3 linked regions of the Oreochromis niloticus genome follow. The protein of the gene in region 1 purifies or fractionates together with the protein of each later gene. This does not show direct contact. Links are inferred from orthologs where the notes say so. Each region holds a gene or a part of one and is shown on either strand. Other genes may lie near its edges.

Region 1 (10,273 bases):
AAAACAAGATGAAATGACTCAGTTTACTGAGAAGTTATTAATTATAGCCATGTTTAAATACTTTTACCATATCTGACAAGTTTCACTCTGGTTTTAAAAGCATACATAGAAAAAAAACTACTCTGTTAAAGGCACATAATAATATGCTTTTGTCTGTCAGTCTACTATTTAGTCATGCTTGATCTCAGCATAGAATCTAACAAGTTCTTTAAAAATATCTGGAACACAAAGCTTGTCACGTTTTACACTGGTTTCCCTCCTCAAATATAGGAACGTCATGATCGAAAGACGAAGCTAGTCGGCTTCCAGTAGCTGTTGCATCCCACAAGGATCCATTTTTGTTCCTCTTCTGTTTTTAATCATACGTGTTACATACATCATGCATTGCCTTGATATTTCTGAAATAGATAAACACATGTTACCATTTGTCTATCTCTGTTATGTGAATGATACACAGTTTTATCTACCTGCCACACTTGACAGTGACTGTTCTCATGATGACCCTTTTTGACTGTTTCAGTGAGCTGAACTTCCTTCAACTAAACAATACCAAAACTGATGTTATTTTATTTGGCACAGCCAGCTCTATAAATATTCTAATTAAGGCATTCTATCCACATAAATTCAGACTCTAGTTAATGTTTCAGTGGATAGTTTCATGTCTTTTAATAATCAAATCAACTGAGAGTTTTTTTCTCCATATATAGGATGTTGAAACATCTGTCTGTGTCACCTTTCACCTGGATTACCATAACTTGCTGTAAATAAGACTGTCCAGTTTCACCCTTCCTTGATTACAGATTGTTCAAAACTGATTTTTTTAATGGTGCACAGAAAAGACAGCACATTATCCTGTTTTTGCTCAGTTGCACTGGTTATATGTGAAATAATTTTCTAAGTTTAGTATTATTAGTTTTCAAATACTCCATTTATTGGCTCCATAATATACTGCAGATCTTTTAACTCCATATTCTACCTTGAGGTCACTGAGTTCATCCTTCCAGTTTCTGTCAGTGTCAGTGACCCTTTCTTGCCTTTCTGTCTGGTCTTCTCGTTAACATGCATAGATGTGAAAGTTCTCTGTTAGAAAAGGAAATAAATACATGCAACATTTCACTATGTAATTTCTGTCATACCTTCTTGCTTCACAATATTGCAGCTGAACAATGGCTGGATTGCATTCTGGCCTGTTTGGACTGCTAAACTAGGCAGAATACAATAGAGACCTTGTATCATTTGAGCATTTTTGGATACAAGGGTAAATTTTTTTGAAAAGGTGTGCAATATCTAAAATTGCATTAAAAGATGAAATCAAATAAACTAATAATGTAGAAATCAGAACAGAGTCAATGGTATTGTAATTCTAAGTCAAACTGCGGTAAACTGCAGAGCAAACTTTTAGCAGTATACTTTCAATGAATGTAAATGGACTGGTGCTTTCTACAAAATCCATCATTCCCCCAATGGTACATGTATTTTTTTAGACCAAACATACTCTATTTTGGAAACAATTTTTAATCTTACAAGTATAAGCCAATGCAATAGAAAACATGATCCAAAAACACATCGAAACTGGTTTTGGAATAGATAAAGCAGGCTAACATTAAGCTTCTGGAATGGTCTTCCCAAAGGTCGAGTTGCAACCCTGTTGAAAATTTGCAGACTACTCTTAAAAGCCGAGTTAATGCTAGGAAACCAGTTAGTTTAAATGAACTCTGCCAATTTTGCCAACAAGAGTGCTCAAATATCCATCCAGAATTATGCTAGAAGCTTGTTGATGGCTACCAAAAGCATCTGGTCAAGGTGCAACTTGTGACCTTTGCGCAACCATTCAATCAATCAACAGTTAAAGAAACAATTAAAAGCCCCTAATTATCATAACATTATTGCCCTAGTGGAGTGTATGTAAACTTTTGATCACAAGTGTAAATAATTCCCCTACTGCACAGACCATGACCATCCAGTAAACTGTGTGAGAACCTATCATGCATCATTTGAAGATAGCACCGTGTTTTTCTGACACATGGTCACAGGAGCACATGGTTCAAGAAGTAGATAAGATTATTTTCTATAGAAATTTTAGCATTCAGTCAGGTTTTAATTTACTGCACATTGCATTAACTGTTTAGGAATTAACTGATCAAGCTCTCATTTTTGTTAATATAGTAATAGTTTTTATTACTTGAATAAAAACCCTTTGCAGTCTGAAGGCTAGAACCGATGGAAACCCTTTGATGCAGCTGCTGTCTTTATTTTTTGTTTGCGCATCTTTCTGCCTTCAGTTTTTATTTAATAACTGAAAAGTATGCGCTAAAGGGCTGAGATCAGATGACTGAGTTGGCAGTTAAAGAATATCTCCTTTCTTTGTCTTTATAAACTGTTGGGTTGCTTTTGCAATATGCTTTGAATCATTATTCATTTGCACCGTGTGGACTACGTAAATTAGTTTAAAGCGTTATTTTTGTACTTTTTACTTAAAGATGTTGTGATTTTTCTATTGCTCTCAGAACATTATTTCCTTCAACTAAACAATACCAAAACTGAAGTTATTTTTTTTGGCACAGCCAGCTCTATGAATATTCTAATTAAGGCATTCTATCCACATAAATTCGGACTCTAGTTACTTTAGTTACTCTTGTCACGTTTTACACTGGTTTCCCTCCTCAAATATAGGAACGTCATGATCGAAAGACGAAGCTAGTCGGCTTCCAGTAGCTGTTGCATCCCACAAGGATCCATTTTTGTTCCTCTTCTGTTTTTAATCATACGTGTTACATACATCATGCATTGCCTTGATATTTCTGAAATAAATAAACGCATGTTACCATTTGTCTATCTCTGTTATGTGAATGATACACAGTTTTATCTACCTGCCACACTTGACAGTGACTGTTCTCATGATGACCCTTTTTGACTGTTTCAATGAGCTGAACTTCCTTCAACTAAACAATACCAAAACTGATGTTATTTTATTTGGCACAGCCAGCTCTATAAATATTCTAATTAAGGCATTCTATCCACATAAATTCAGACTCTAGTTAATGTTTCAGTGGATAGTTTCATGTCTTTTAATAATCAAATCAACTGAGAGTTTTTTCTCCATATATAGGATGTTGAACCATCTGTCTGTGTCACCTTTCACCTGGATTACCATAACTTGCTGTAAATAAGACTGTCCAGTTTCACCCTTCCTTGATTACAGATTGTTCAAAACTGATTTTTTAATGGTGCACAGAAAAGACAGCACATTATCCTGTTTTTGCTCAGTTGCACTGGTTATATGTGAAATAATTTTCTAAGTTTAGTATTATTAGTTTTCAAATACTCCATTTATTGGCTCCATAATATACTGCAGATCTTTTAACTCCATATTCTACCTTGAGGTCACTGAGTTCATCCTTCCAGTTTCTGTCAGTGTCAGTGACCCTTTCTTGCCAGAGAACAAAAGGTAACCATGTCTTTGCTGGTTTTGCCCTAAGGCTCTGGAGTCTGCCATCCCACATAAAAACCACTGACAGTGCTAAAGCCAATACAGAAGTGCCTTAAGTCTGTATTCTATCTGACATCCAATAAATGGCAATAACTGTCATTCCAGAAAGACTTGTGGTATAGAAGTGTTTGGTAAAATGCCTTTCTGTCTGGTCTTCTCGTTAACATGCATAGATGTGAAAGTTCTCTGTTAGAAAAGGAAATAAATACATGCAACATTTCACTATGTAATTTCTGTCATACCTTCTTGCTTCACAATATTGCAGCTGAACAATGGCTGGATTGCATTCTGGCCTGTTTGGACTGCTAAACTAGGCAGAATACAATAGAGACCTTGTATCATTTGAGCTTTTTTTGGATACAAGGGTAAATTTGTTTGAAAAGGTGTGCAATATCTAAAATTGCATTAAAAGATGAAATCAAATAAACTAATAATGTAGAAATCAGAACAGAGTCAATGGTATCGTAACTCTAAGTCAAACTGCGGTAAACTGCAGAGCAAACTTTTAGCAGTATACTTTCAATGAATGTAAATGGACTGGTGCTTTCTACAAAATCCATCATTCCCCCAATGGTACATGTATTTTTTTAGACCAAACATACTCTATTTTGGAAACAATTTTTAATCTTACAAGTATAAGCCAATGCAATAGAAAACATGATCCAAAAACACATCGAAACTGGTTTTGGAATAGATAAAGCAGGCTAACATTAAGCTTCTGGAATGGTCTTCCCAAAGGTCGAGTTGCAACCCTGTTGAAAATTTGCAGACTACTCTTAAAAGCCGAGTTAATGCCAGGAAACCAGTTAGTTTAAATGAACTCTGCCAATTTTGCCAACAAGAGTGCTCAAATATCCATCCAGAATTATGCTAGAAGCTTGTTGATGGCTACCAAAAGCATCTGGTCAAGGTGCAACTTGTGACCTTTGTGCAACCATTCAATCAATCAACAGTTAAAGAAACAATTAAAAGCCCCTAATTATCATAACATTATTGCCCTAGTGGAGTGTATGTAAACTTTTGACCACAAGTGTAAATAATTCCCCTACTGCACAGACCATGACCATCCAGTAAGCTGTGTGAGAACCTATCATGCATCATTTGAAGATAGCACCGTGTTTTTCTGACACATGGTCACAGGAGCACATGGTTCAAGAAGTAGATAAGATTATTTCCTATAGAAATTTTAGCATTCAGTCAGGTTTTAATTTACTGCACATTGCATTAACTGTTTAGGAATTAACTGATCAAGCTCTCATTTTTGTTATTTTGATGATAGTTTGTATTACTTGAATAAAAACCCTTTGCAGTCTGAAGGCTAGAACCGATGGAAACCCTTTGATGCAGCTGCTGTCTTTATTTTTTGTTTGCGCATCTTTCTGCCTTCAGTTTTTATTTAATAACTGAAAAGTATGCGCTAAAGGGCTGAGATCAGATGACTGAGTTGGCAGTTAAAGAATATCTCCTTTCTTTGTCTTTATAAACTGTTGGGTTGCTTTTGCAATATGCTTTGAATCATTATCCATTTGCACCGTGTGGACTATGTAAATTAGTTTAAAGCGTTCTTTTTGTACTTTTTACTTTTTACTTTTACTCGGAACATTATTTTGAGGTGGGGGTGCCAAAAAGTGTTTAATCAATAACATGACCCAGAATGAAGTCATAAAGGACAGGGAGTAATTTTTATTGTGTACCATTACAATGTGTGAAGTGTAGGGGAACTGGTCTCAAGGTTTAAGTGACCTTTTCAGCCTGGAATTGAACCTATATTATAACAATAGAACTCCTTCTGAAACTCCACTCTTGGTTTTTATTGTTAAATGATGAGATATTAGCCCAATTTAATCAAAGACTTCTTTCTCTATCAGCAAAGGAGCAGCCCTACACTGCAAATATGACTAGTATTAGTAGTTACAGAGGGAAAAACAGTAGATAACTGTAAAATAAAGTAGTTCTTGATAAATGGTTCCTGTGACATTGCTCTAAATTACATTAGTTTGTAATACATTGTAGTGGATATGTGTGGAACTGACCCACCCTGCTGCACTCACAGCAGCTGTCCTCTGTATTTCAGCAGCTGGCAGTATACTCTGGCTCTAAGTGTGAGTCATACATTCAAATCATTTTGAGGATCTGACTCACTTCCAACATTTCACTTAATTTCAACTCTACCTAGAATTTGCCACAGATTTATTCCAAATGCCGGCATTTGATCTTACTGTATGCCCTGAGCTATATACAGTAAGTGGACATTAAGACCGCTGGCTCTGCTAAATATTTAGTTGTCTCCCTGGTAACAAATACACTTCTATTTTTAACTCCAAGTCTGCAGTTCCCCTCACAGTCAGGCTCAGCTCCACCAGGTTAAAATGTAACATTTTGGTGTTAACAAATGATCTTTCACTAATTAGCCTCACTTCACCAACATCTGCAAGTATTTGTTAACTGCTAAATTAGTTATTTACAGCTTTTAATTTCACTGTGAGTCAGCTCTTGGGCGTTTAGCAATGGCACAATTATATTGGCTGTTTGAAATGTCACTCAGGTTGAAGGCACCTCCCACTCTCTATATACTGGAGTCATCTGGTGGGGTGCAGAGAGGCAAGGCCCTGCAGCACTTTCATTTCTTCTCAGCTGTACTTAACCTTCTGCATCTGCCAAGATGATGAATGTAAGTAAAGATTTGACAACAATAGTTAACTTATATTACTTTGATTTTGATATGACTCTTTGGTTTACTGATATCGACAGTCTTAGGCCTTAAGCCTATTTTAAGCATTGAACTGACAGCTGGTCCTAGCTTTATCTTTACCAGGCTGATGTAATTGCATCAGCTAAACTGTACTAACTAAAAAGGATGTTTGCATTTAGTTTTTATTGACCTGTTAGGAGTTCTAATGTTTCAAATTTTTTGATGACCTTTTATGGTCAAAATATTCACCACAGAGCATATGCTTACATTATTTACTTCTCAATTGTTATTTCCTTTTTCTCATCTATAGTAAAAGATCAATGTCATGCCTATACATGAAAGTTAGCCTTAGTAATATAAACACATGATAGCACTTGAGTCTTTCATTTCAGTCACGCCTTCTCTTTTTCCCAGTGTCAGAGCTGAACAAAGGCTGCATTGCATTCTAGCATCTCTGAATTGATAAAATAGTCAGAATACAGTCAAGACCTTGTGTCTGTTTTTCCTTTTTTGGGCTAAAGGGGTGTTATGGTTTTAATGACATTAAGGGATAAAATGAAATAAAGTAATAACCTAGAAACAAGAACAGAGCCAACAATCCTGCAAATCTAAGCCAAACAGGGGTCAACAACAGTGCAAGCCTTAAGCAGAAGTGTAATTATCTCTCAAATAATGTCTCTGGCACTGTTAAGCTTCACTTTGTGTTGATTTCACACAGAAATGACAATTATTCATTCAGTTCAGTGAAGTTTATTTTAATAATGACTTTATTACTAGTAACGTGTTACTGTTTTAATAACTTGCCAGCTCGATTTCATCATCACAACAGTGACAGATTCAGTGAAGTGTCATGTCTTACACATTACATTATTCAGATTCCTTCATTAGGCAGAATGTCTGCAGCGTCACCGCCAGCTCGGACACAAGCCCAGTCCAGCACAGCAAGCTGCGCTGCCAAACACACTTTCTAACAGAGGAAGAATGTTCACATTACTATGCCTCCCTTACTTTCACTGGTTGATCTTTAAATAAATTATATGTTTTGCAGTGAGCTGTGGCGTGCCACGATTTCAGCCTGTTTATAGAAAAGTGCAGATCATTACATGTTTGTGTGTCTACAAAAGGGATATAAATGAAAGTACTGTTATCTGTGTACCAATAAACTCTGATATGGTTGTGACATATAAGTTAAGATGAACAGAATTTGGTTTAATTGGAATTTGACAGTGAACATATGTTACAGAATATGCAGAGGTCCTTGGAAAACTGTAGGATTGAGAATCACTGTCAAGAAGAGGTTGAGGTGAACAATGTTGCTCTAAGGCAGGGATGTCCAACTCCAGGCCTCAATGGCCGGTGTCCTGCATGTTTTAGATATCACTCTGGGTCAATACACTGGAATAAAATGATTAGTTCATTACCAGGCCTCTGGAGAACTTCAAGACATGTTGAGGAAGTAATTTAACAATTTAAATCAGCTGTGTTGGATCAAGGACACATCTAAAATCTGCAGGACACCGGCCCTTGAGGCCTGGAGTTGGACACCACTGCTCTAAGGTATTGCAACCTGACAGTTTGTCAACCTAGAAATCTAAATTATTTAATCAACAAAATATAGATACTAAGTCTTCATAGTCATGTTCAGTGGGAAAGTTTGGTCTCTTCACAAGCGAATCTAAAATTGTTAGCATGATCTAATATGATCAAGTATTCATGGTTATTTTTAGTAAGTGTTTGGTTTCTTGTTGACTGTATCTAGGATGTTTCTCTAACAACTGCAGCGTTTAAAACCCACACAAGTAGTCTGGGTTTCTGATCTTGTCCCTTGAAATGGAGGCAGGCAGTGAAGAAATACAAATGAATAAAAAAAATAAAATCTATAAAAGTTGCATTAGGAATTTAGGTGGAGAGTCTAACAGACTTATCTGATAACCTACATCTTTAGATTACTCTTTTAAGGACTTGTGCACTTGTACAATTTGACTTTAGTGGTAAATTATATCTGTGTAAGCTGTCTCTTCAAAGTAGCTGAACCTTCAGAAATAAAGCTAAAGTTACTTCTATTTGAAATTGACTATGAGAATTTAATTGAGTCAGTAATCTAAGGTAAATGCGGTTTTAAGCCGTGAAACGTGCTTGATTGTTGCTCTTCTTCCCCTTCCCTTTTTCTGTTTCAAATTCCCCATTAGAACAATTACAATTTCCTAATTGTTACACAAACCAGTATTTTCCTGCCACATGTACAGCAGGAACTGAATTTCTGCTAAGCTTAGTGTTTTTCCACTCCCGGTATCTAGTATTGCACTGAGGAAAATTTGACTCAGTTTAACAGTTGTCCCTCATCATTTTTCAACATTCAGTCTCTGCCAAAATCGGCATACAGAAAAATGTCCCTGGCAACCTCAGGACAAGAAAGAGCTGGAATATTTGACCAGCCAGTCAATGGGGATATAACTGAAAACACATGTTCTGCAATTTCTAGGGATAAAGTGAGGACTGGAGAATTGGCCGAGACTATAGCCAGTGCTGTTTTTTGCCTGAAGCTGTAATAATAATTGGATCTAATAAAAGTCAGTAGTATTACTAGACAATAATACACTGTATCACCAAACTTGCCTTCTTTTTTGAACAGGGTGTGTTTGTAAAGAACATGTCCTTCAAGGTTGGACAAACCATGACTGTTGTTGGAGTCACCAAACCTGAGGCTGGAGAGTAAGTATTGATTAAGGACGAGCTGTGTCATGATTTTGTAAATGAATGAATCACAGTAAAGTTAGAAAAATCTTCAATCAATATTCAACAAAATAAATTCTTGACAGGGTGTCGTTATCGCTGTATTTATCATTTAGTGCAAAAACTGATAGCTAATGTTATTGGCTAAAAAAATGAGTAAATTAGATTTTGTCTGTGTTAGCTGTCTCTTTAAAGTAGCTGAACCATCAGATATAAAGCTATGGAACATGTCATTTATCTTCCTGAACTTGACTTAGTTACTTCTATTTGAAATTGACTATGAGACATTAAGTGAGTCAGTAATCTAAGGTAAATGCGGTTTTAAGCCGTGAAACATGCTTGATTGTTGTTCTTCTTCCCCTTATATTTTACTTACTATGCTTATTTCTGTTTCAAATTCCCCATTAGGATTAGACTGAGCTACTTATTTAAAGTAAATGAGGTTTGTCACATGTCTGTACATTGCAGTTTTGCTGTGAATATCGGCCCCGGCGAGGACACAATTGCATTTCATCTCAACCCTCGTTTCAGTGCCCATGGAGACTCAAATATAATTGTCTGCAACTCTTTCGAGGGAGGCAGTTGGTGTCAGGAGCAACGCGAGCAAAGTTTTCCTTTCTCCCTGGGACAGGAGTTCAAGGTGTGAGAATGTGTGTGTATAGTTTAGCCTTGCATGGGTCATATGTAGTCTATTAGCTTCCTCTTTAGTCTGTATAGTGCCTCTCTCTGAGAGTGACCTCTGGTGGAAAATAAGTGCCACTGCATCTTTGATAACTTCATTATTTGATACTGCACACTCATCTGTGAGACCTTGATCGTTATACATCACATCTATTACAATATTTGATTCCTTTGTCTGTCTGTCTCTCTCACTGATAATACCTTTTAGATCTCCATTGAATTCACTCCTTCAGAGTTTGTGGTGACTTTACAAGATGGCTCAACATTCCGTTTCCCCAACCGCGTCGGTGCAGAGAAATACTCGGCCCTAAACTTTGATGGGGATGCTCGCATTCAAACCATTGACATCAAGTAAAGCGCCATCGTTTCTCATTTCTCATACCTGGATGTGAAAAATGTTCTTTTTTTGTTTGTCTAGCAGCAGGTAATATAAAGTCCTAGGTCTTCAGCTTCCTTGTTAACCTTTAACCTTTATCACAGATTGTCATAGTTTACAGGATATGAGTTTGTTGAGAGAGCGGTCCAAACAGCTATAGTCATAAAAAAGGAGCCTTACAAATTATAATCTTTAGCTCTAAACCTGAACACCCTTTTCTGGAACTCTACCATGAGTAGTTTTAAAGCAGTTAAAGAAAGTTATTTTTCTGTTTGCAGTTTTTTGCTTGCAGGATTCATAT
Region 2 (10,667 bases), on another chromosome or scaffold:
AGAAATTAGTCTAAATAATTTCTTTTAACTCTATTCCTTGTAGGAAGTCTATATTGCTCTAGGATTTAATAATTTCTTTAAAGTCTTCTTTCCTTGCACTTTTCTACCAAACATTTTTAGCTTTTCCCCCCTAGAATACATAATATTTCTTGCAGAATGTCACTGTTGGCCCAAAACCACCAGTGGATACTGTGACTGAATGTACATTTGTCTAGATTTCACTGCTGTCCTGAACTGTTAACAGACATCTGGAGCTGAAACAAATTTCAGAGGGTTTTTATAAATCAGGTCAAATCGTAAACACCATCCTCTGTGTTCTCTCCTCGTGTGTGTTCAGCAAACAACTCCTCGGGGAAGCTGCTACTGTCCTGGTTTGCCCCAACCTCATACATGAGCTCTCAGGCTGATTGCCTGTAGGGTGTCAAATTTGTCTGTCCAAAAGACAAAAATCTGTTTTTGTTTTTTTTTTTAAAGATGAGCTTTAATTTAATAAAATATCACTCAATTTGATCAACATCGTTTTTATATGTGTGGCAGTTGCTGCGGCATCTCTGATGGTTTCTGAGCCCCATATGTTAGAAAAACGAGACACTCATACTGTATTTTAATGGAACGCTCTATTTGATCCCCTTTATTGCCCTGTAGAGAACATATTCCCTCGAGCCTCCTAATTTTGCCATGGTCAGTGAGTTTACAGAAGTTCCTTTGTAGCCATTCTTGAATGAAAACAAGACTTCACACACACACAAAGGGAAAAAACACGTATAATTTTTTTCACAGGAGGAATTTGAGTTGTTTTTTGGCCTTATGCTCTGTCAGCTGTTGCTGCAGTGAATGCTGAAACTGATGAAGCATGCTATGACATCAAGCAAGAAAAAGCCTGGCAGAGAACCACCCACTCAACCACAAAAGCTTGTTACAGATGTTCCTCACTCCAGCACACCTGGTCTCTATAAGTCAGTGACTGCACTATTTGAAACGATACGTCACTTAGACATCTGAGCATAGCTCTTAAGAAAACATAACTTGATCCATTAAAGCTTACAAGTTGAATCCAGGGCATCTTCGTTTATGCCATGCATACCTTCTTCTTTGATATTTTTGTACTTCTCAGTAATTACCTGTCAATCAAACACTGAGAAAACATGGTATCCTTGGAACTGGTCTTGATATATCCTGAACAGTTATACTAACAACTACTGGTACAGGAGCTTATATAGCCAATGTTGTGAAGGGGAGGACAAAGCAAGAAGATAAAATAAGATTCAATTAAAAAAATGTGCAATCACACACAAGAAAAGCACAGAAGTGTTTACTGAATAAGGGATACTTTTGTTTGTTTGTTTTTCTCAAATATGATTTACAAGAAGATTGTCATTGTAAAGTCTGAGTTTTACATTTAATGGATCTGACTGTTAAGCTATAGTCCTCTAGTCTTTTTTAACTGGCTGTAATTCTGTGCTTAATTATATCTGTAGGGTAACTACTGAGTCACATGTACCAGTTGTAATGACACAAATACATATGTGACAACTTCAGCCTCTTTAAAACACAAATGCTTGCTAATGTGATATTCAAAGATTAAGCCATTAGAAAAAAGAAAAAATGTGGGAGAGGTCAGAGGTATTATTGGGATTGAGATGCAACTGGATATCATCTGCACTGAAATGAAAAGCAAGAGTTTTAGTGTGATTTCACCAAAAGCGAACATAAAGAAAATAATACCAGGCCTAACATTGAACCTTGGGGAACTCCGCAAATCGTTTATGCTAGCATTTATCTGTTTATTTTATCAGTAACCACATTTCTGTATGTTTTCTTCTTACAATAATTCTTACCATGCACTGTAGAGCTTTCACAAACTGAATATTGAGCACTTACACATGAAAAACATATGAAGTCATTTTAGGCAGTTTTAGGTAATCTACACTATGTATCAGGATTACATATATAGTGCAAGAAGAACGACAAATTGTGTGCTAGATAATATAAATATATTATCCCATTTGTAAAGCAGAAGGTTGTAATGCAAACAAAAACATTTTGATTTGAAACCCTATTGTTATCTTAAAAACTGTCAAAAGTGTGCACTATCCTCATCTAAGAATTTGTCTGAAGCAGACTTAAGTACTTTTTGTTCATTCAGGCACTAAAGCACAAAGATAAGCTGGATGTAGAATCACGTAAAGCAGTCTACCAAATGAATTACCACTAAAGTTTGCACATTTTTAGCTTTCAAATAAATTTTTGCAAACCCCCCCTACGGTGGCCCTGAAGTGCAAACCACAAAAACAAATCAAAACGAACAAAGCAAATGGACATGCAGCATGAAGTCCAGAAGCTCTGCTGCAGTTTCACGTGCTCTTAAGTATAGTTTATTTTAGTCAAAGCTTCCACACATAAACAACCAGGGTGGGAGAGTAAGAGCTCTTGAATCATTCTATAAACTGTTTAAGAAGAGTGTGACACAGCAGAAATGGAGATGAAAACAGAGAAATTTGCAAACAGACGAATTTTGCAATCTAATTCGACTGTATTGTAGAAACTACTTGCAAAAAAAGAATAAGGAGAGTGAGAATTTAAAAGTAGAGTCAAACTACTTAAGCAGAGAAAGAGAGGATTTTTTGTAATCATTTATAGACGTAGGAGATATCATACTGAAGGGATTTAAAATGTTGCACTTGTATATTTTAAGTCATTCTTGATTGTTTCCAGACTTAAATCTGAGCATGTCTTAAGGATGCAAACATTTTAAATCAACAAAGTTTTTTGTTTGTTTTGTACGCAGTAGAAAAATTGATGAACTACGTGGTTTAAATTTTGAAGACACTGGGCATGCTTATTTCCTTTTCCTTCATTATTTTCTTACCTGCACTGATGGCTTTTAGTGTGTGTGGATATGAGCTATGTTCTGACTCCATCCATGGTGAGACAGATTGGCAGATACAGATATAGAACACGGCTTATTGACTGGCAGTCCTGCCCATCTGTTGCGAGAACCATTTCCTATGATGTGTGAGATTTTAATCTTTTGATTTCCTTTTTCATTAACAACCCTTATATCTGAGAGACGGGTAGTGGAAGATGAGGGCCCAGATCTGTCTCTCTCTATATTTGAAAATCTGGAGTCTGGACCTCCAGCACTGGGGTTTGATAGCTGGTGAGGAAGCACTGTAACCAAAGGCTGACTAAAGGTTCATTTTAGACAGGAAACAATATGACTAACAATGAGCAAGACCAGTGTTTGTAGAAGAAAGCAAAGCGTTAAAAGCGATACTGTGCAATATCTTCTCTTTCTAATAGTAACTGGATTTGATTAACAAAAAAACACACTTTAAAGTATCAGGGTGATAATTAACCGCCTTAAAATAATTTGTTTTCCTGGCATCTTTTAAAGCAGTCTGCTTATTTATTTTCTGCAGACTGAAAATAAATCCGTGTGCCATATTGCTTAGGCTCATGGTGCAATGATATTATTGTAATATGCTATGTATGTAACATATGTAAGATTTATGTGTGTTAGACTGATATTCTAACACACATGAAGGAAGAGCCTTTATAGCACTGTGCAGGGTTTTCCAAGCTGATCATAATTAGCCATACAATGCACTAATGTAAGTACATACAGACAAATAGGGTGACAAGATGTGAGATTTTTAAGAACAGAAGCAAGACAAATTCCACTCTAGTGTTTTTTCAGGCATCAACATGCTGAACTAAGAATTATGCCCTGAGTTCATTCAACCTGTAATGAACTGCTCTGTTGCTTTCTTTTATGAATGATCCCTCTGATCAACTGAGTGATCAAAGCGGCACACACTTAATCACAGCTCTTCTCCATGAGGTAAAGAACTCAGAGAGGTAAACATTCCATCTGGAGAATGAAACAGGGACCTTTGATGGGTCAACAGCATCAATCAGAGTTTACTGTCCTGATCAGTGCTGAACCAGGGTTTTTATTGACTGTGCAGGTGATAAATAACCTCCACTGAACTATATTTAGGTGCAGAAGAATGATCCACCTCCCTGGTAGTCTCTCGCTTTTGTCTATGAGATTATTCCCTTTAGTTTCCATTCAGTAGCTTGTAAATTATTCTGGCAGTGCGGTCAATTCATGCTTTAAGAAAAGACGCCTGTTTGCTTCAAGTACCAGCAGATGGCGTCATAATAAGTCAGATATACTGACTGAAATGGATTGAAATAGATGAAATAGATTTTAAATGGTTTAGTGCAATCAAAATTGGCAAACAAAAAAATATGTTCTTTTTTTTTACTCGACTTTAGCAGTTTCCAGCCCTGCAGAATTTTTTCCCCCATATGGTCATAGGTTTGTTGACGTCCAAACATTGCAGCCCTTGTTGAAGAAGGCTCAGATTTGCTGGTCTAACACCAAAATTGTTTTTTCAAGGTTTTCCATCAGAGTTTGTAACCATGGCTGTGGACTTGGCTCTAATTCTTCCACACTTACAGAGGTGTACCACTGACATTTCGCAATAAGTACAGCTTTGTGCACTGGAGACCTGTCAAGACATGAAGACAGAAACACTTTTTTCTCCACACTCCTTTAAACCAGCAAAAGGGTCAGTTTTTCTCTTCACTTTCATGTTTTGATCTCAGCCATAGTGCAGCCTGGAACACATGAACAGAAAATAGAACTTAGTTGTTGTGTTGCAGGTGCTGTGGGTGCAGATGCAGATCATTCCTGCAGTGCACGTCATACACTGAGGTTTCCAAACTCTGTGTGTGACCGTGGTTCACCACCAGACCGAGCTTTTCCATCATCGTCTTCTACTGCTACCCAGCACGACAAGAACATGAGCCAAAACAGAGTTCACCACCACAGGAGCCACACAGACACACCCCAGGGGTATACACTCACACAAATGCACACGCCCTGTGTCGGACACACCCCTTGCCAAGCACATCAGAAATGCCCCAAGGTATGGCAAAACACAGTTGCTCCATCAAACATTGGCTACAGCAAGCCAAGGAGTGTATGAGAAACAGTCTTGCATGTGAGACTAAAACCTTTCTATCTTCTCATGCACAACAGAAGGTACTAAAACAGCTGAGCTGAACTGAAACTTGATCCTAATTACACATAAATCTTGCTAAGATTTCTAGCTTCATTATGTTAGTGCGTGAAATAGCTCACCACAAAATAAAACCAGAAACTGTCAACCTAAAGCTTTGATTTTGTACGCAAAGCATCAAACGTTGCGCTGTCCATTTTTTATGCTCTACTTGTATAATTGGTGTTCTCAGTTTTAACTTTGAACTCTTTTTAGAACTGTGTCATGTATATGTTATTTAGGATTTTGTTGCTTTATGAGTTTTTCCTCCTTTGACAAGAAATAGTCAATGAATGATGCACATTGACAGGTTAATTGCTCTCTAGTGTGTTGTCAGAGATAACCATGTTGTCCTCTGGGAAATCAAGGAGGAAGGTTTACTGTTGAAAACTGAGAAAATTAGGAGGATGGAGGAAACTATTACTCTGTCACGTTACTTTTCATAACTGACATCCTTGAAAGAGCTGTAAATCCAGTTTAACACTGAAAATGTCACAAATTCCACCACTGTAATACATTCTTCCCCATCTATTAGCTCACTGTGCAGTGAGTGCAAAAAGCCACCACCTGTGCAGATCCACAGCAGATTCCAAACTATTAATTCTGCATACACACTCTCTGTTTTCAGGCTTTCCAGTCTCCAGTCCGAATGCCCTCCTTTCAGGAAGTGGGACAAAGGAATTTTTTGAGCTGCCCACTGTGATTCATTGCTGACACACACACACACACACACAGTAGGTTTAGCCTTTATTTTAACTTAGCTCATTATTCATGGCTTAGTTTTAACACGACGACCGGCGCTCTGACTCAGAGGGGTTCTGGAGGAGAGTCAGGTGGAAGTTGAAAAAGAAAGAACTCTTCTTCTAGAAAGAGTTTTGTTCACGTTGTCTTTGTTTTACTATCAGGCAATGTAGTATCAGAGAATCTAAGTGTGCAGTTTTAAATTGGTTTAATATCGTTTTTTTTAGTCCCAAGAAGCAAAAAGGAAACATGGATTTTACAAAATATATATGTTGGCTGTAAAGAATGTGCTATTCCTTTAGTGCACAAGAGCTGGCATTAAACAAATGTAGGTTGTATGAAGACACAAGACAATAATAATGCACAATTATAACTATTTTATTAGTGCTTGATATTCTTAGCTCGAACACGTCGTTAATTCTTAGTTTAACAGCTCTTTCTTACATGTCTGCATTGCCTTATAGTGATAGACCGATTAGTTTCTGCAGCACCTGAAGAGCCGCACGCAGCTCCAGTGGAGGAAAGGAGGCGGGGCATTGCGCACCACGGGAGGAACTGAGATGTGAGCGGGTCTCTCTGCTGGATGCAGCCAGAGTTGAGTCCCACGCGTTTCAGCAACAGCAGGTCCACGGGCTTGACTAAAACCGAAGGGTTTAAAACTAGATTGGAAGAAAAAAAAAAAAACTTTGCAGGGGGTTTATTTGTTTCACCAAGAAGCGAAAAGAAGAATCCCGGGTCACTCTGGATTTATTGAGAAAGTCTCAGTCTTGAGTGATTGTCCAGCGGAATATGATTTGAATCAACAAGACGTACCGCACTGTTGCTCAATAACAGAAAAGCAGGTAAGTTTGTTTCCAGCTCCGCTAGTTTCGGGCTTTTTTTTTTTTTTTTTTTTTGTATGTTCTGTATATTCATGTATATACTGTATATTCATGCGTAAAAACGCAGCGTGGACCCTGACCCTCTCCTCCCCCTGCTCTGTATATCGCAGCCTGTTTGGAAATGTTTTTTCTGGCTCCTCACACCATTTCACCAACTTCCCATTTGTGTTTTCTGAGCCTCTAGCCATGACTCACTTTCCTTTCAAACTGAAAACATTTTCACTGTTTTCCACCTCGCCTTTTGTCTTTTGAAAAAAAAAAGAGAGAGAGAAAGAAACAGTCATGCTTAGAGGTTGTGATCTTTTTGTGTTTGGTGCAGGTGCACACTAATGTGCCCCCAATTACTCATAACAGATAAAAAGCAAGTCTTTGCTTCTCTTGACCCTGTCCTGGGATGAGAATGTTTTATAATAGAATCCTACATTGTTTAATGCTTATTTTCTTTGGCACACTATCGTCATCCTGCTGTGTTATTCCGTTTTTAACATGTATGAGTACCGCTTTATGTTTTCTGCCTTCAAGCACCTGTTAGTGCTGTCTGTGTGAAAATCTTCTCCGTGAAACATATGTTGCATCTGAAAGCTGAGTTTTCTCCCCCAGACTTGCTCTACAATAGCAAATGAGCTCGTACTATTCAGACATCGATATAAATCAGGCAGATAGCGCACACTGGGGGGTTCTGAATGAACTTATGCATAGCTATGGGCATGAATATAAAACCAAAACTAACTGTGCAGCATGTTATTGGCTTGTTTTGGTTTACAGCCTGGCTCTGTGTGTATGAAGACACATCCAGACAGAGAGCATGAAAATGCGCATTTTGCCAATTCTCTCTGGTGTGGCTGTTGCCCCCCCCCCAAAAAAACCCCTCCCAGTGGATTACCATTTAGTTGGTGGGGTTATTTATCATTTTGCTGGAAGGTGCCCCTTGCCTTCTCCCTCCCACCTCTTTTGTTTTAATTGAGTTTATCTTTGCTCCCTTGGGTACTTGCTGTCTAAACTTAGGCCAGTGCCTGCTTCAGCGTGTAGAATGGCCTCCTCTCGGGGTGATTCACTACTTTGCTTTGTGCTGTGGTCACATGGGAGCAGAGCAGAGCACCACAGAAGTGCTCGCCCAAGTCTTGTTGCTTGTTCATCCAGTGGTCAGTGAAGGCAGATGTTCAAGTGTCCATGATAAGAAGACTGATATCAAAGTTCTGTGTCACCAAAAAGCCTCCAGTGACTTGAATATGACTATATTAATTGCTTGTGGTGATGTGAGTAAACCCTGACTTTACTGCCTGACAGAGTTCTATTTGTGAGTCTAAATAAGGGATTTGAATCTTCCAAATCAGCACAAACTGGAGCTTTTCCCCAGAAGTTCACACTCTACACAATTAAGGCCACCTACTCAGAGAGGCATGTGATGAATGCTTTAGTGCTTGTTGTTATAGCAGCGATGTTTTAATAATTCATTTCCCGTGTCTCTTATTTCTGGAACAGGATGAATCTCTGTTTGCTTCATGCCATCATGTTGCTGTGGGCCATTCGCTCCAGCGTGCAGGGCCAGTGCGATAGATCATCAGAGGATACCAAACTCAACCTCTCTGTCACCTATGAGCTCCCATCGTTTACCGCAGAATTCCCAATCCAGAACATGGTGATACTGGATGGAGTCATCTATGTTGGTGCTGTAAACAGAATATATGCCCTGGCCCCAAACTTGAGAAAGCTGTCAGAGTACCACACAGGTCCGCTGCGTGCCAACGAGACCTGTGGCCAGAAGCTGAACGGAACAAGCAGCAGTGGAAGAGTAGACAACCACAACATTGCCTTAGTGGCGGAGAACATTTACGACAAGGGGTTGTACAGCTGTGGCTCAGCAGATAACGGTGTTTGCCGCCGTCACGTCCTGGATGATGGCGTGAGCGCAAAAAGTGTAGATGAAGAAGTCTACTGCTTTGCCGACAAGAAGAAACTGGAAACCGGGCAACCCGATGACTCAGATGTTGTAGTCAGCCCTTTGGGCTCCCAAGTGCTGAATGTGGAGAGCAATGTCATCCAATTTTTTGTTGGGAACTCAGAAATTCCCGGCAGAAGAAACATCTCAAGCAGTGCAAAACATCCCCACACCCTTTCTCTGCGGAAAATGAAGACAAGCCAGAATGGTTTTACTTTCTTCTCAAACAGATCATACATGGACCTGATTCCATCTCTACGTGGAAATTACTACCTGCGCTACGTTTACTCCTTCCAGAGTGGACCCTTCACCTACTTCCTGACCGTGCAGCAGGTGAGCAAGGACTCTCAGGCCTACCACTCCCGCATAGTCCGCATGTGCTCCGCAGACTCTGTGATTCGTCGCTACGTGGAAATGCCCCTTGAATGCATCAGCACCGATAAGCGGCGGCGACGGCGGCGCTCTGGGACAGGTGTGAAAGTGTTTAATATCTTGCAGGCAGCCTATGTCACTAAAGCGGGAATTGACCCGGAAATCCAGAAGCACCTGAAGGTGGAAGAGGACGATGATGTGCTGTTTGCTGCCTTTGCCAAAGGAAAGCCAAACTCTAAAGACCCAACACCTAATTCAGCGGTTTGTGTGATTGCCCTGAAACAAATCAACAGCATGTTCAAAACCTACATGGAGAAGTGCAACACCATAGAGCCATACCACTTCACTGGTTTAGACAAGAAGTCCTGCTACAATGTGGTAAGAGTTGGGAGTGGGAGGGGCTTAGAGTTCAGTAAAAGTCATTGTAGACCAGGGGTGGGGGAACGCCAGGCCTCAAAGCCGGTGTCCTGCAGGTTTTAGATGCATCCTTGATCCAACACAGCCGATTTAAATGGCTAAATGACCTCCTCAACATGTCATGAAGTTCTCAAGTGGCCTGGTAATGAACTAATCATTTGATTCAGGTGTGTTGACCCAGGGTGATATCTAAAACCTGCAGGACACAGGCCCTTGAGGCCTGGAGTTCCCCACCCCTGTTGTAGACTTTGAGGGGAAAAAAGAACAATCCCATTAAATAGAAAAAATGTATTTGGAAATAATGTTTGTCTTGCTTTTTATAGCGTTTCTCCATTTAAATTAAAAAACAAAACAATGTCCATGTATTGTTTCAAATATTTGGTCTTTCTAAGATATAATAGTTCTTGCAGTTATGTTCCAGTACAAGTCTGCAATGACTATTGCTGCATTCACATGTATTTTTCTGGCACTTTTTATGACTAGAGTGAGTTTTCCTGAAGGAAGTTTTAGAAGTGTTCCAGTGAAGTTTTACAAAGATGTCTGATTTTAATCTTTTAGAATTATAGACTTTACCTGTTAGACTAAATCCCATTTAGTTTGTTGGACGAAGAGACTGTAAGTTACTGGGTGGCCTCAGGTTCACACAGGCGTTGTATCTACTTGTGCTCGTCTAAGTGCCCTTGAGTAAGACACTGAAACATAACTTTGACCTCTGGCACCTGTTTTTAGGGGTGTACAGTGCAGTCTGTTGGTCAGGGGCAGCTCTCGCATTGTTCTGGCTCAGTAATCCAGCACACTGAACATGAAATTATAGAATGACAGCGAGCTAAAATTCCTGACCTTCAGCTTTAATTTGAAGTTGTTAACGTGCATATTAGATGAACAGTGTACAGCTTGTTGTCATCTCAAAAGACTCATTCCACATTTGGAGCAAGTTGGGAGGATGATCCATAATAAACAAAGACAGCCATGTAGATTTTTTTTTTTTAATGCCAAAATCACCAAACGTTCTTGACTTGCCCAATCTGTCCAACTCATCATATGCTTAACGTGTGCTAACGAAACATCATTTTCTAAAATAAGCAAAAATAAGAAAGAAACAGAAAATGTTGAACAGCAAAAGATCAGTGTGGATCTTTCCATGAGAGAGTTTATAGTTTCAGTCATTATATTGAAAAAGACCGAAGTATTAAATACAATTACATTTTCATTGCATGTTGATTGGATCAACATTTAAAAACATCT
Region 3 (10,557 bases), on another chromosome or scaffold:
CCTCTTCATCAGTTTGTGAACACATGTGGTTCAAATAAACACAACCAAAAACAAGTTGCACAAATGGAAACATTTTCAGGCAACACAAAAAACGTTAAGTTAAATACACTGCTCACCAGCGGCTGTGTTATAGTCACAAAGCACTGAACTCCAGCCAGGTACATCACTTTGTTGTGACCCCTGGAAGGACATTGTGTTGTCCTCTGGGCTGAATGAAGTGCCTTCCTGTTGTGTTGTGAGTTTCCGTATTTGGATGTGTTGCGTGTGTTTGCAGTGCATTTTTGTCAAATTGATAACACATTATTGCTTCATTCACATCTTATTCTGCTGTTCGTCCTTATCGTCTGAGAAGTATCAGAACAATTCACCTCCTCTTCAATGGGACAGATACTGTTGGGATAACAACTTTAAACTTCGCACAGAAACCTGTTACTTGTGTCTATTGCATCAGTCATGTGAGAGCCAGCAGTATATAAATGTCAATCAAACTAGGTACAGCACAGTGGCAGATCTAAAAAAAAAGAGATCCACCCCTGGTACAGCAGGTATGTTGAGCCCTGAATTTCTCATATTTGCACAGTACAACTCACAAACACTGGTTGTTCAGACCCCCACCCCCAAACTGCAGTTTGTTCTTCTTCAATTTATCAAACATTATTGTAAAATTGTTCTACAATTTGTTGATGATTTTTGCAGATTGACAAAACTCTACCTTCGTTTACTTCTGAGAAACTCTGCCTCTCTAATTGTACATTGTCTCAGTTTAAACACTTGATATGTACTATTGTGAATAAAATGTGAGAGCGGATTCTTTTTTTTATTTTTTTGCACAACACCCTAACTTTTCCGGAAGTTGGTGTTGTGCAGAAAACAGTGATTGCGAGATTTCAGCTGAAGCTGACAAAAGTCACAAGAGTGACACCTGCACTGCTGATGTAATAAAAAACCAAAACAAACCTTAAGCAACTTTTATATAAACTAAAACTCAAAAATTGATTCTTTGCCCTCATAAACATTAAGTAACAACTTTGAACAAATTTGAACAGAGATATATAAAATCAAAAGTGTGTTTATTTAAATCAATGTAATGATTACGTTAATAGATTCATTAATCACTGCTTGGTAAATACCATTTACAGATTACAGAGTCCATTAAATGTAACATTTTATATTCCATGTAACAAAATTGTATGGACAGTTTACGTGTTATCAAATTACTTTTGATAGTAATCACTTTGGGCATAAATATGTCTTAAATGTAACCAGTGTCATTAATTTCATGACTTCCCGAGCTCAAAAGATACTTGAAGAACATGAATCGGTTCAAAATAAAGCAACTAGTTAACTCTGCACAGCCTCTTCATTTATCAGACAGTCTGGCTTACAATAAAGATTTCTGTCTTTTCTGAGATATTTGAAATCTCTGCTATCTATGTGAGATCCTCCCAGCTTTATCTACCAGAAATATTGTGTAACATGGACCCTATGTGACCCCAACCATGTACGGATTACTAAACAGCCCTACAGAGGACTCTACTGTCTATTTATAAGTTTTTGTTTAAAATGAAAACAACACGGGTGAAAGTGCCTAATGAGTCTTAATCTACAACAGCCAGAAGGCAAAACATTCCTAAAATAATTTTTTCCCTCTCATGGATACTCTGCAGGAAAAAAAAGAGCGATAGTTCAGTTTGTCCTTAAGGAACGTGATACTTTATGCTAATCAGTGCCTTTGTCTTCAGGTTGGACTTAAAGGTACATATTGTAAATTTTTGTTTAGCTACTTTCTCAAACTGAGAAAAATTAACGTAAGCTATCAACAGAAGTTAAAGAGACAACCACTACAACAAAAACACTGTCAAAAAAACACTGAGCTGACGAGATATTTACTCAAGTTAAAATGCAGCAGGGCCGCACTTTTCTGTAGCATCAATTTGTAGCACAAGATGGTAACGATTCCATGGTAACGATGACATTAAGAACATGTTTTTATTTACAAAGGCCGCCTAGAAAATATGAAGGCTTCTGGAGGAAATGGGGCTGAGACTACAAAACAAATAAAAAAATAAAAAAGAATAAGTGCACACATTTGAAAACACACCTACGGGTAAAAAGTATTTCCCCTGGTAAGTTTCAAGGAAGTGTGAACATGATACATCCTTGGAGTTATGTGGTTAAAGTTATTGACTGTCTCTGCTTTCACTTAGCTCCACAATTTACTCTGTGTGCTGGATGTTAACCTATTCAGTGTTAATTCCCAGAGTGGTTTTGTCTCCACTCAAGCAGCTTCAGCATTTGATTGTGATTCTGCAATTCTGCTCCAATAAAGCCACAAGCTTCTCTAGTGAAGAAGATAAACCCCAAACCACATGCTTTCAGTGACTGATAAAAATCTTGTGCTGTTAGCAGGCAACATCCTCTCTGGTGCTAGACGTATGCGCTGCCAGAAAATTGGTTGCTACATGACTCAGAGGGTGAAGATTGGTGAGGAGTGCACAAAGTTCCTTTTGTTTCAGCCGTTATGGTTACACCATCTGGGCACTCATAGTGTAGCCATACTCTTGTCAGTATGAATCCATCCTTCCATCCATCCATCCATCCATCCATCCATCCATCCAGTTTTTGTGATGTTCAGTTGAGACAGTTCACCAGTCTGTCAAAGCACTAACAAAACCTACTTTAAATGCACCTTTGCACATAAAATAGCATGCACCAGTATATAAGCATTTGAGATCAAACTAGTGTTAAATGTATATAACACTTTGTGTGACAGTAACAGTGATTCAGCCACCGACTCCGCCACCGGTAGAGGTTAGCTGACCTTATTATTCTGAGTTATTCTGTCTTAAGCTTGCATGACTTTCTTTCTTTCTTACTTCTTAAACGTATGGACTCTCAGAGTGTGCAGAAGGGTGGGAACAGTGGCCCGTCAGATTGCTACATAATAACTGCAGGGTCATTAACAGGAAATACCAACAAACACACTGAGTGAATGTGTATGTGAATGTGTATGTGTGCGTGAAGCCGAGTTCCTGTCTGACATCCACCATAACTGTTTTTCATGCTGTAGCTATTTTTATCTGAATGGCCAAAATCAGGCCGATTTTATGCGAGTTTTTCCCAGTTCTCCTTTCTGCTGAACAGGAGAAGTTTGTTACTTAAAGAAATTTAAAGGATGAGTTTTAATGTACTCCCTTAAAACGTTTGTGCTGCCTTTTGCTCATGTTTATGACTTTCTGCAAACATATCCTCTCATCTTTTCTTTGGTTTATTTAATCATGACTGGCTGAAAGTCTGGATTGAATCACAGACTGGCTGGAGATCTTCAGTGACTTTGCTGGGAAATCTGCCCCCCCACCACTACCCGATCTCCAGCTAAACATGGCTAACACCAGCTGTTCATCACTACAGACTACTTCACACTACTTATGCAGTCATTGTTTACTGAGTCCAGTAACAGTGAATTAAACAGTTGGAGTCACACAAAGTACTTCTGATGTAGTTATTTATTTTTAGCGAGTAGCCGGATGGATCAGATGAAAGGCTGCTTTTTAGGCGAGCTTTTTTGTCCCCTTGGTGACCAACAGGCAACACTACAAAGCTGAAAGTCTACAGATGTGCTAAAAATCTGGAAAGGGGAATTACAGAAGTGCTACACACTATTATCCGCATGTTAATGCTCTCCCGGTGCGAGAATATTGATCTTTACTGAAGAAGGAACTGTGCTAATGATTTCACAAGGTTCTTGTTGAGAGAGCTTTTCTATCATCCACTTATCATTTTAATATACACATGCTATAAACAGCAGGCTATAACTGGCAGCTATTTAAAGGAATCCCTCGATATGTATCCTAATCTGACCACCAGAATCTGTACTGTTGTAAGTTACCTGATTAAAGATGGACTTCGTGCATTCTTTTGAACACATTTTGTGCTTTTGCTGGCTCCAAACACCATTTTGATGAAGCATAACAGATTTCCAACAGCTAATCCAAATAAGAGTTGTTACAGAGTTCCCTGAGGGTGAATCCTGGTTATCCTACATTGGATCCATATTTTAGTTGTAACCAAGATCCTGCAAAACTAACACTGCCATCAACCTCAGCTATTTACCTGTTTCTTTGTTTTTTGGCGTTTAAAAAAGACTGGACACTGCCTGAAGTGCTGCTTCTCTGAACACAGCGTTAACGATACTTTAGATGGTCAGCTGACCAGAATTAGAGACCACATGATGACTGAGACATTCCACTGTGCTCACACTGCAGACATAAACTACTTTAAATAGAAGCAAAAAGTACATTAGGAAAATGTAACATCCTCTTTTCATAAATGTAATGAAGATGTCACATTTTTAATGCAGATCCCTTTAGTGATGGTTATGTCTGTTATGTACATACATTTGTAAGCTTCTGGGAAAGTGAAACATATTCAGATAAGCTTGTTAGCAATGATGTCCACTAGATGTTTTCTTGCTGTACTCACTGAGTGATCAGCAGATCAGGTCTTTTTTTTTTCTGCAAAAAACTTTGGTGACAAATGTCACAACAACAAGGAGTTTTGCATTCACTGCAATCCCTGTGTTGCTTCATTATAATTCTCAAGATTAAGTTAGAGGCCTGGAGGAAACTAATACGAAGTTATAATTCAGCAGCAGAGAAAGAAATACTCAGACCTATAAAGTAAAAGTAGTATTGTAGAAATTGTTTCAGAATTGTATATTACGGCATTATATGAAAAATGAAAAATGTTATTTTTTAATGCTTTAGTTATATTTTCTGGCAGGAAAACAACCTGTACTGCAAAAATGATCCAAATCCCAAATAGTGATTATATTTTTTACATTGTTATTGTGAGTCTTACGAGCATCTCATTGCATTCAGTCGGGTTTTAATAGCACTTGAAACAATGCATATTGTGGATATTTTATTTTTTATACTTAATTAAACCATTTCTAGTATCTATTCTGTTCATTTATATTTTCATAATTTTGGATAAAAAAAACCTTTCGAATTCAAACTCGTTATCTTTTAAAAAAAAAATAATTTGCAGGCCGAATAGTGCTTTATTCTTAAAGCTTCACGTGTTTCACAAATGAAAACAATAGAAACATCCGTTGTGAGGATGGATTTTTTAGAATAAAGGACTGTTTTAAACTTTAGGGCCACGACTGCTGTGTTTTTTGTCTTCATACTGTAAGAGAAGGACTTCTCACATTTGCTGTTTCTGAATATTTCCTGCGCGCATTGCGCGGTTCAGACACAGAGGTTCAGACAGTCACATTAGATCATGGCAGCGCTAACTCCATTCACACTTTAGTGACAACTGAAGAGGAAACGACTCTAACACACACGCACACCGCGCGCGCTCAGGCGGGGCTTGGGGGAAACACCGTTACACACGCACGCGCGCAAATAGAGAGGGGAGGGTCTCCGCGCGCTCATCTCTCAGTTTCATTGACTCCATGTGAAACTCTGCTCAACTCATGTTTTCACTGTGTTTTTTCTGTTTTTAACATTCAGACTCTATCGTCTTAGTTCTTCTTTCGTGTTGCACGTGTTTGCCCGAATAAGAACCTACAAGTCTCGTGCGAAGCCGGTGCACGCACGAGACTCTTTAGGAGACTTGAGGAGCAACAGGAGGATTTACGCACGAGCGAGACCCGCGGGGAATAATAAGGTGGATTTAACGGAGACTTCTTTGACGCGCTGCGGTTCTCCTGAGTCTGTCACCGGCAGTCCCTGGACCTGTCTGACCCGGGATAACAGCTGTCTGACCCGGGGTAGGCTTTCTGCTGTCTGAGCGGTACAGTAACCGAAATGTGGACCGTTTATACAGTGAATGACTGATAGAGCTGATGAAGAATCAAACACTGCTGTGGTTAAGGAGTCAGGCTGAAAAAAGCACTTCTGTGTTAACTGTTCAATGAGTCTGTAAATAAACTGGTAATAATGGCAGCAGTAAAGTCATAACTCTTCATATGACCCAAAAGTTTGGGGGTCTGGAAACTTGACAACAGTGTGTTTGAATGTCTGGATCATTACTTACAGTTTTTAACTAGCTGTTATTAAGCTCATGTTTATTTAGAAAAGTGTAACCGCTCACTTTGTACTTGACTCTGTAAGAGCAACCACAGCCCACCATGATTCAAACAGGCTAAAATAAGGAAATTAAGATGAATAAACAAATCCAGAGAAACAAAAGTACAATGAAAAATAGATTTGGCAGTTCTCCAATTTTGGAAAATCGACTTGATTGACTTTTTCTTGTTCACTGTTAGACAAGAAGAAAGATTGGCAGCACTCTCACTCACTCTCTCTCCTGCTGTATAGATTAGGAAACAGCCAGATGACAGTTAGCTGAGCTTTGCATATGTGCTGGAAGCAGAGGAAACTGATAGCCTGAGCAGACAGCAGAAACTCTTTGATTTTTATACTGATGGAACAGTAGATGTAACTTTTCTTTAACCTGAACAAATTAAGTGATTTCCTCTGCTTTCAGTCTGTGGTTGGATACAAGCAGCCACTGCCTGTGGTTTCATGTAAAACCAGACACCAGCGTACTTCACAGGGGTGTGTCTCCTAAGTAACTCTGAGGCTGTCTGACAGTTGATATATATCAGTATGGGTGTTTTTGGTTTAATCACCCGGTTATCTCATGTCTAGACTCAGTGAAACATTCAAACATCAAAAACTCATCTTTTAATTAGATTGCATTATTTTATTTACATATGCCAAAACTCAGGCTGACATATTTAGCGTGCTAGTAGTCTCTGATCTCACTGTGGTGTTAAATAAAGTGATGCATGCTCGAATTAAACATACTTTGTTCCATCACAGGTATCGATTGACATTAATTGCTCATAAATTAAGTAAATTAAAGCTGATTTTATTTATTTTTTTAGAATACATTTTCTGTTATTTGTTGGGAAATTACAACAACAAACAAGTCATTTCCCCTTTTTTCAATAAAGTCCAGTTTAATGAATTACTGATGTCCCACAGTGGAAACGCTGGTAATAACCTCACACTTGTGGAATGCCACATTTTGGGCAATCGTCACATAAATCCCACTCAGACACAACTAAACTGTGAAAAGAAAAATCTGGGAAAAATCTAAAGGAAACTTTAAAGATTTGCTTCAATGACCAACTGTGTAGCAATAAAATGTAAATTCCTGTACTCATTCAGCATAACCTCTGTTTTCTTGTTGCAGTTTGCCCTCCATCATGAAGGTCTCCGCGGCCAGTGTGTCTGCACTGGTCATGGTCTTAGTTCAGGCCCTGGTTCCTCCTGCTGCAGGATACAGTCTGGATCAGGACCACAGTCTGGAGTTTAAAGGCCCGCCTTCCTCCATGTTCGGATACTCAGTCCTGCTGTATCGCCACAACACAGAGAGCTGGTCTGGATCCCTACTAGTATTCACGTTATTGGTTTACTAACAACTCCCCAGCCCCCTCCAACCCTAACCCTGACTTTTGATCTGTTTATCTACTACTGATTGTTTACTGATGTGCTGTTGATCATCGTAAACTACATTTCAAAGAATGCTACATGCTAGTAATAACCTCACTCATGCACTTTAAATTGTAAAACAACTCACAGCTGTTCTTACAGTCTTATTCTAATTGATTTAATTACCATAGTAATGCTCCGTAAGCTGCCATCTTCACACAGTATCACTTTGTGTGTGTGTGCCCACACCAGTTAGCCAGTTCTTGCCAATGAGAGCAGCTCTTTGATGCTTCACACACAGATGCCATTTAGATACTTGAGACAAAGACAAAACCAGTGCTAAATGCCTCTCTTTCCCTCTTTTAGGTTAGTTGTTGGAGCGCCAGTCGCAAACACATCCTTCGATGGTTCAGTGTCTCCAGGAGCTGTTCTCCGCTGCAGCATCGCTGCTGTTGGACCCCGGGAATGCCACCACATGACTGCTGGTGTGTGTTTTTGTCAGCCTTTGTGTTTAGTCTTTTCCCCCTGCATTACTCCAGCTGTTGATGGAGATGAAACTCAGATGAGAGATGCAAGTTCAGCCAAAACATCCATTAGTGTGCTAGTGTTATAAACACATATATTTAATAAGTCTGGATGTACTGTAGATGCTATATAAGGTGAGTGAAGGTGATATGCTGACAGTCAACCACGTATCCATGTGTATGCAGATGTGACTCGGTGTGGAAAGACGTGTGAAGCCGAGCGTGATCACCAGTGGATGGGCGTCAGTTTATCCAGACAACCTGAAAAGGAAGGAGGACACATCCTGGTAACGCACACACACTCTCTCTGTGCTCCCCCCCCCATGTTATTAATGCTTTGTGAGCGACACTAAACACAGTTTTCTTAGTTTTATCATCTTCATTGGTTCAGCAGTTTCCTCAACATGGCCGTTGTGGCAGTTCTGTCAGACAAATCGCAAGTTTTAACGAAATGCAGTTCACCATTCTGGGTGAAGAGTGGTTTTTCCCTCCGTTTTACAGTGTGGCTGTTCAGAAAAGCTGTAAACTTTTGGTATTTCCAGTGAGGTAGGCCAGCATGTCATAAAAGACAGACACCATCTGAAAGACTGTAAATGCCAGCAGATAAGAGTTTGCAGTGCTTAACATTTCAGGGCTAGCGATGGTTGGTGGTGTGCTTTGAAGGCATGGTCCACATCATATAATATATAACCTAAAAAAGTTTTTTTTTTTAACAATTTTTATGGAAATCCCTTTTAGTGCTGGTTATGTAAAATCCGTCTCTCTGTATAAGCATTTCAGAGGAGCTATTGTGCTGTTAGGTTTGTTTGTTGCTGGGAAAGTGGTAGGTAATCAGACTAGATTAGTAACATTAGCAATGATGTCCACAATTCAGTGCTCACTGAGCCATCAGCAGATCTCACACACTTAGGGATGTGTCTCTTTTTTATTATAGTGACAAATGAATATCTCTTGCACTCCCTGTTTTACTCCATTATGACTCACAACATGAAGCAAAAAGAGGGAGTTAGAGAACTCAAAGAAACTAATCCACGGTGCAGGGTCACTGTAGAGAAACAGTAAACGCACATTAGCACAGTGTCACAAACAAACTCAGTGGTTATGGACTCTTATTTTTTTTTAAACAAAAATGCATTTTACTTCCAGCTTTAGGACAAAGAGTCAGCAGTCATTAAACAGCAGGTCAGTCACTTAGAAAGCCTGAAACATTTGCACAACAGACAGCAACATTTGAAAAGCCTGAAGGCATTTCTGTTACACACAGTGGAGGCAGTGATGTGATTGAGAAAGTATTTACAACACCGAGTGTCTCCTGTGATCGTCTGTGTTGCACAGGGGGGGAAATAAGCAAAGAAACATACAATGATAATGTTCAACACACACACACACACACACACACACACACACACACACACACACACACAGAGTTTCTGTTACAGTGACTTAGGTCATGGGAACAACAACACTCTGCTGCCAACGTGTGACTTAGTAATGAGTGCATGTCACATGTTGTTTGTGCGTGTGTGTGTGTGTGTTTTCAGGCCTGTGGTCACCGCTGGAAGAACGTCTTCTACTCAAAGAAAGATGGTCAGAACAACAAGCTTCCCAATGGGGTGTGTTATCGTTTTGGCAGCGACATGAAAACTTACAACGCTATGATCCCCTGTTACAGAGGTACACACACACATGCTGCTCTAATGGTTACACTTATTCCTCTCTTCCTACTAGAGAGAACAACTTTTTGACCTAGCAACCTTTTGTAGAACAGGGTAAAGAACTACAGAACTCCATGATGTCAATAAAGCTCACAAACATACAGTTGTCATAGTAAAACGAAACTCACCTGCTGACAGTTCTGTGGTTTTACATATCAGGACATAATACAAATAAAGTGGCAGGTCTTAAAATGACACAGTGATATTATTCATTTAACAGCTATTAGGTCAAAACACAGACACAGTCCTGATTTTATAGGAATTAAGAAGGTAATTAAGAGCCAGATGCATTAAACGTTGGCAGTTTGCTGGTCTGGAGCAGCAGCACAATGCTCAGGAGAAAAGACATCAGCAATGATTTTAGAGAAGCTGCCCATCAGTCGGGGAAGGGTTCATTTATTATTACACTGAGAGAGTTTATTCACAAGTGGAAAACATTCATGACAGCTGTCAGACTTCCCAGGAGTGGACGCTCCAGCAAATGCACTCCAAGGTCAGACCGTGCAATGCTCAAAGAAATTACAAAAAACCCCAAGAGCTACATGCCAGACTATACAGGCCTCAGTTAGTATGTTAAAAGTTCATAACAGTGCAATTAAAAAAAGACTGAAGAAGGATGGCTTATTTGGAGGGAGAGAAAACGGGACAGTCTTTTAACTGTAAGTTTCCTTACCAGATTTTAACATCTGGTAACATCTGGTAAGGACTATTTTTTATTTTGCTTTTTATCTTTAAATAATGTCCTGATATGTAAAACCATGACTGTGACTGTAGCGATATGAATGTGTGTGCATGTGAAACCAGCAGCTGTTCAGCTGTGGGGGGATTTATTCGTTTGTTCACCTTCACCTTTTGACATGCCTGTGT

Evidence for each region.
Region 2: the proteins of beta-galactoside-binding lectin (region 1) and met purify together in Homo sapiens (affinity purification with mass spectrometry; 3 studies listed by BioGRID and IntAct, with this or other methods). This does not show direct contact. The link is inferred for Oreochromis niloticus from reciprocal best matches to the Homo sapiens genes LGALS1 and MET.
Region 3: the proteins of beta-galactoside-binding lectin (region 1) and itga4 purify together in Homo sapiens (affinity purification with mass spectrometry; 3 studies listed by BioGRID and IntAct, with this or other methods). This does not show direct contact. The link is inferred for Oreochromis niloticus from reciprocal best matches to the Homo sapiens genes LGALS1 and ITGA4.

Annotation. Positions count from the first base shown.
Region 1 is NC_031969.2:16,230,144-16,240,416, forward strand, and holds beta-galactoside-binding lectin, read left to right. Parts: upstream 1-6,025; 5' UTR 6,026-6,152; coding exon 6,153-6,161; intron 6,162-8,814; coding exon 8,815-8,894; intron 8,895-9,383; coding exon 9,384-9,555; intron 9,556-9,804; coding exon 9,805-9,951; 3' UTR 9,952-10,263; downstream 10,264-10,273. UniProt on the Homo sapiens protein: Lectin that binds beta-galactoside and a wide array of complex carbohydrates. Plays a role in regulating apoptosis, cell proliferation and cell differentiation. Inhibits CD45 protein phosphatase activity and therefore the dephosphorylation of Lyn kinase.
Region 2 is NC_031972.2:41,333,036-41,343,702, reverse strand, and holds the start of met (hepatocyte growth factor receptor), read left to right. Parts: upstream 1-6,334; 5' UTR 6,335-6,655; intron 6,656-8,176; 5' UTR 8,177-8,177; coding exon 8,178-9,383; intron 9,384-10,667. UniProt on the Homo sapiens protein: Receptor tyrosine kinase that transduces signals from the extracellular matrix into the cytoplasm by binding to hepatocyte growth factor/HGF ligand. Regulates many physiological processes including proliferation, scattering, morphogenesis and survival.
Region 3 is NC_031987.2:23,930,957-23,941,513, forward strand, and holds the start of itga4 (integrin alpha-4), read left to right. Parts: upstream 1-5,415; 5' UTR 5,416-5,802; intron 5,803-7,212; 5' UTR 7,213-7,225; coding exon 7,226-7,398; intron 7,399-7,817; coding exon 7,818-7,936; intron 7,937-8,161; coding exon 8,162-8,262; intron 8,263-9,516; coding exon 9,517-9,649; intron 9,650-10,557. UniProt on the Homo sapiens protein: Integrins alpha-4/beta-1 (VLA-4) and alpha-4/beta-7 are receptors for fibronectin. They recognize one or more domains within the alternatively spliced CS-1 and CS-5 regions of fibronectin. They are also receptors for VCAM1.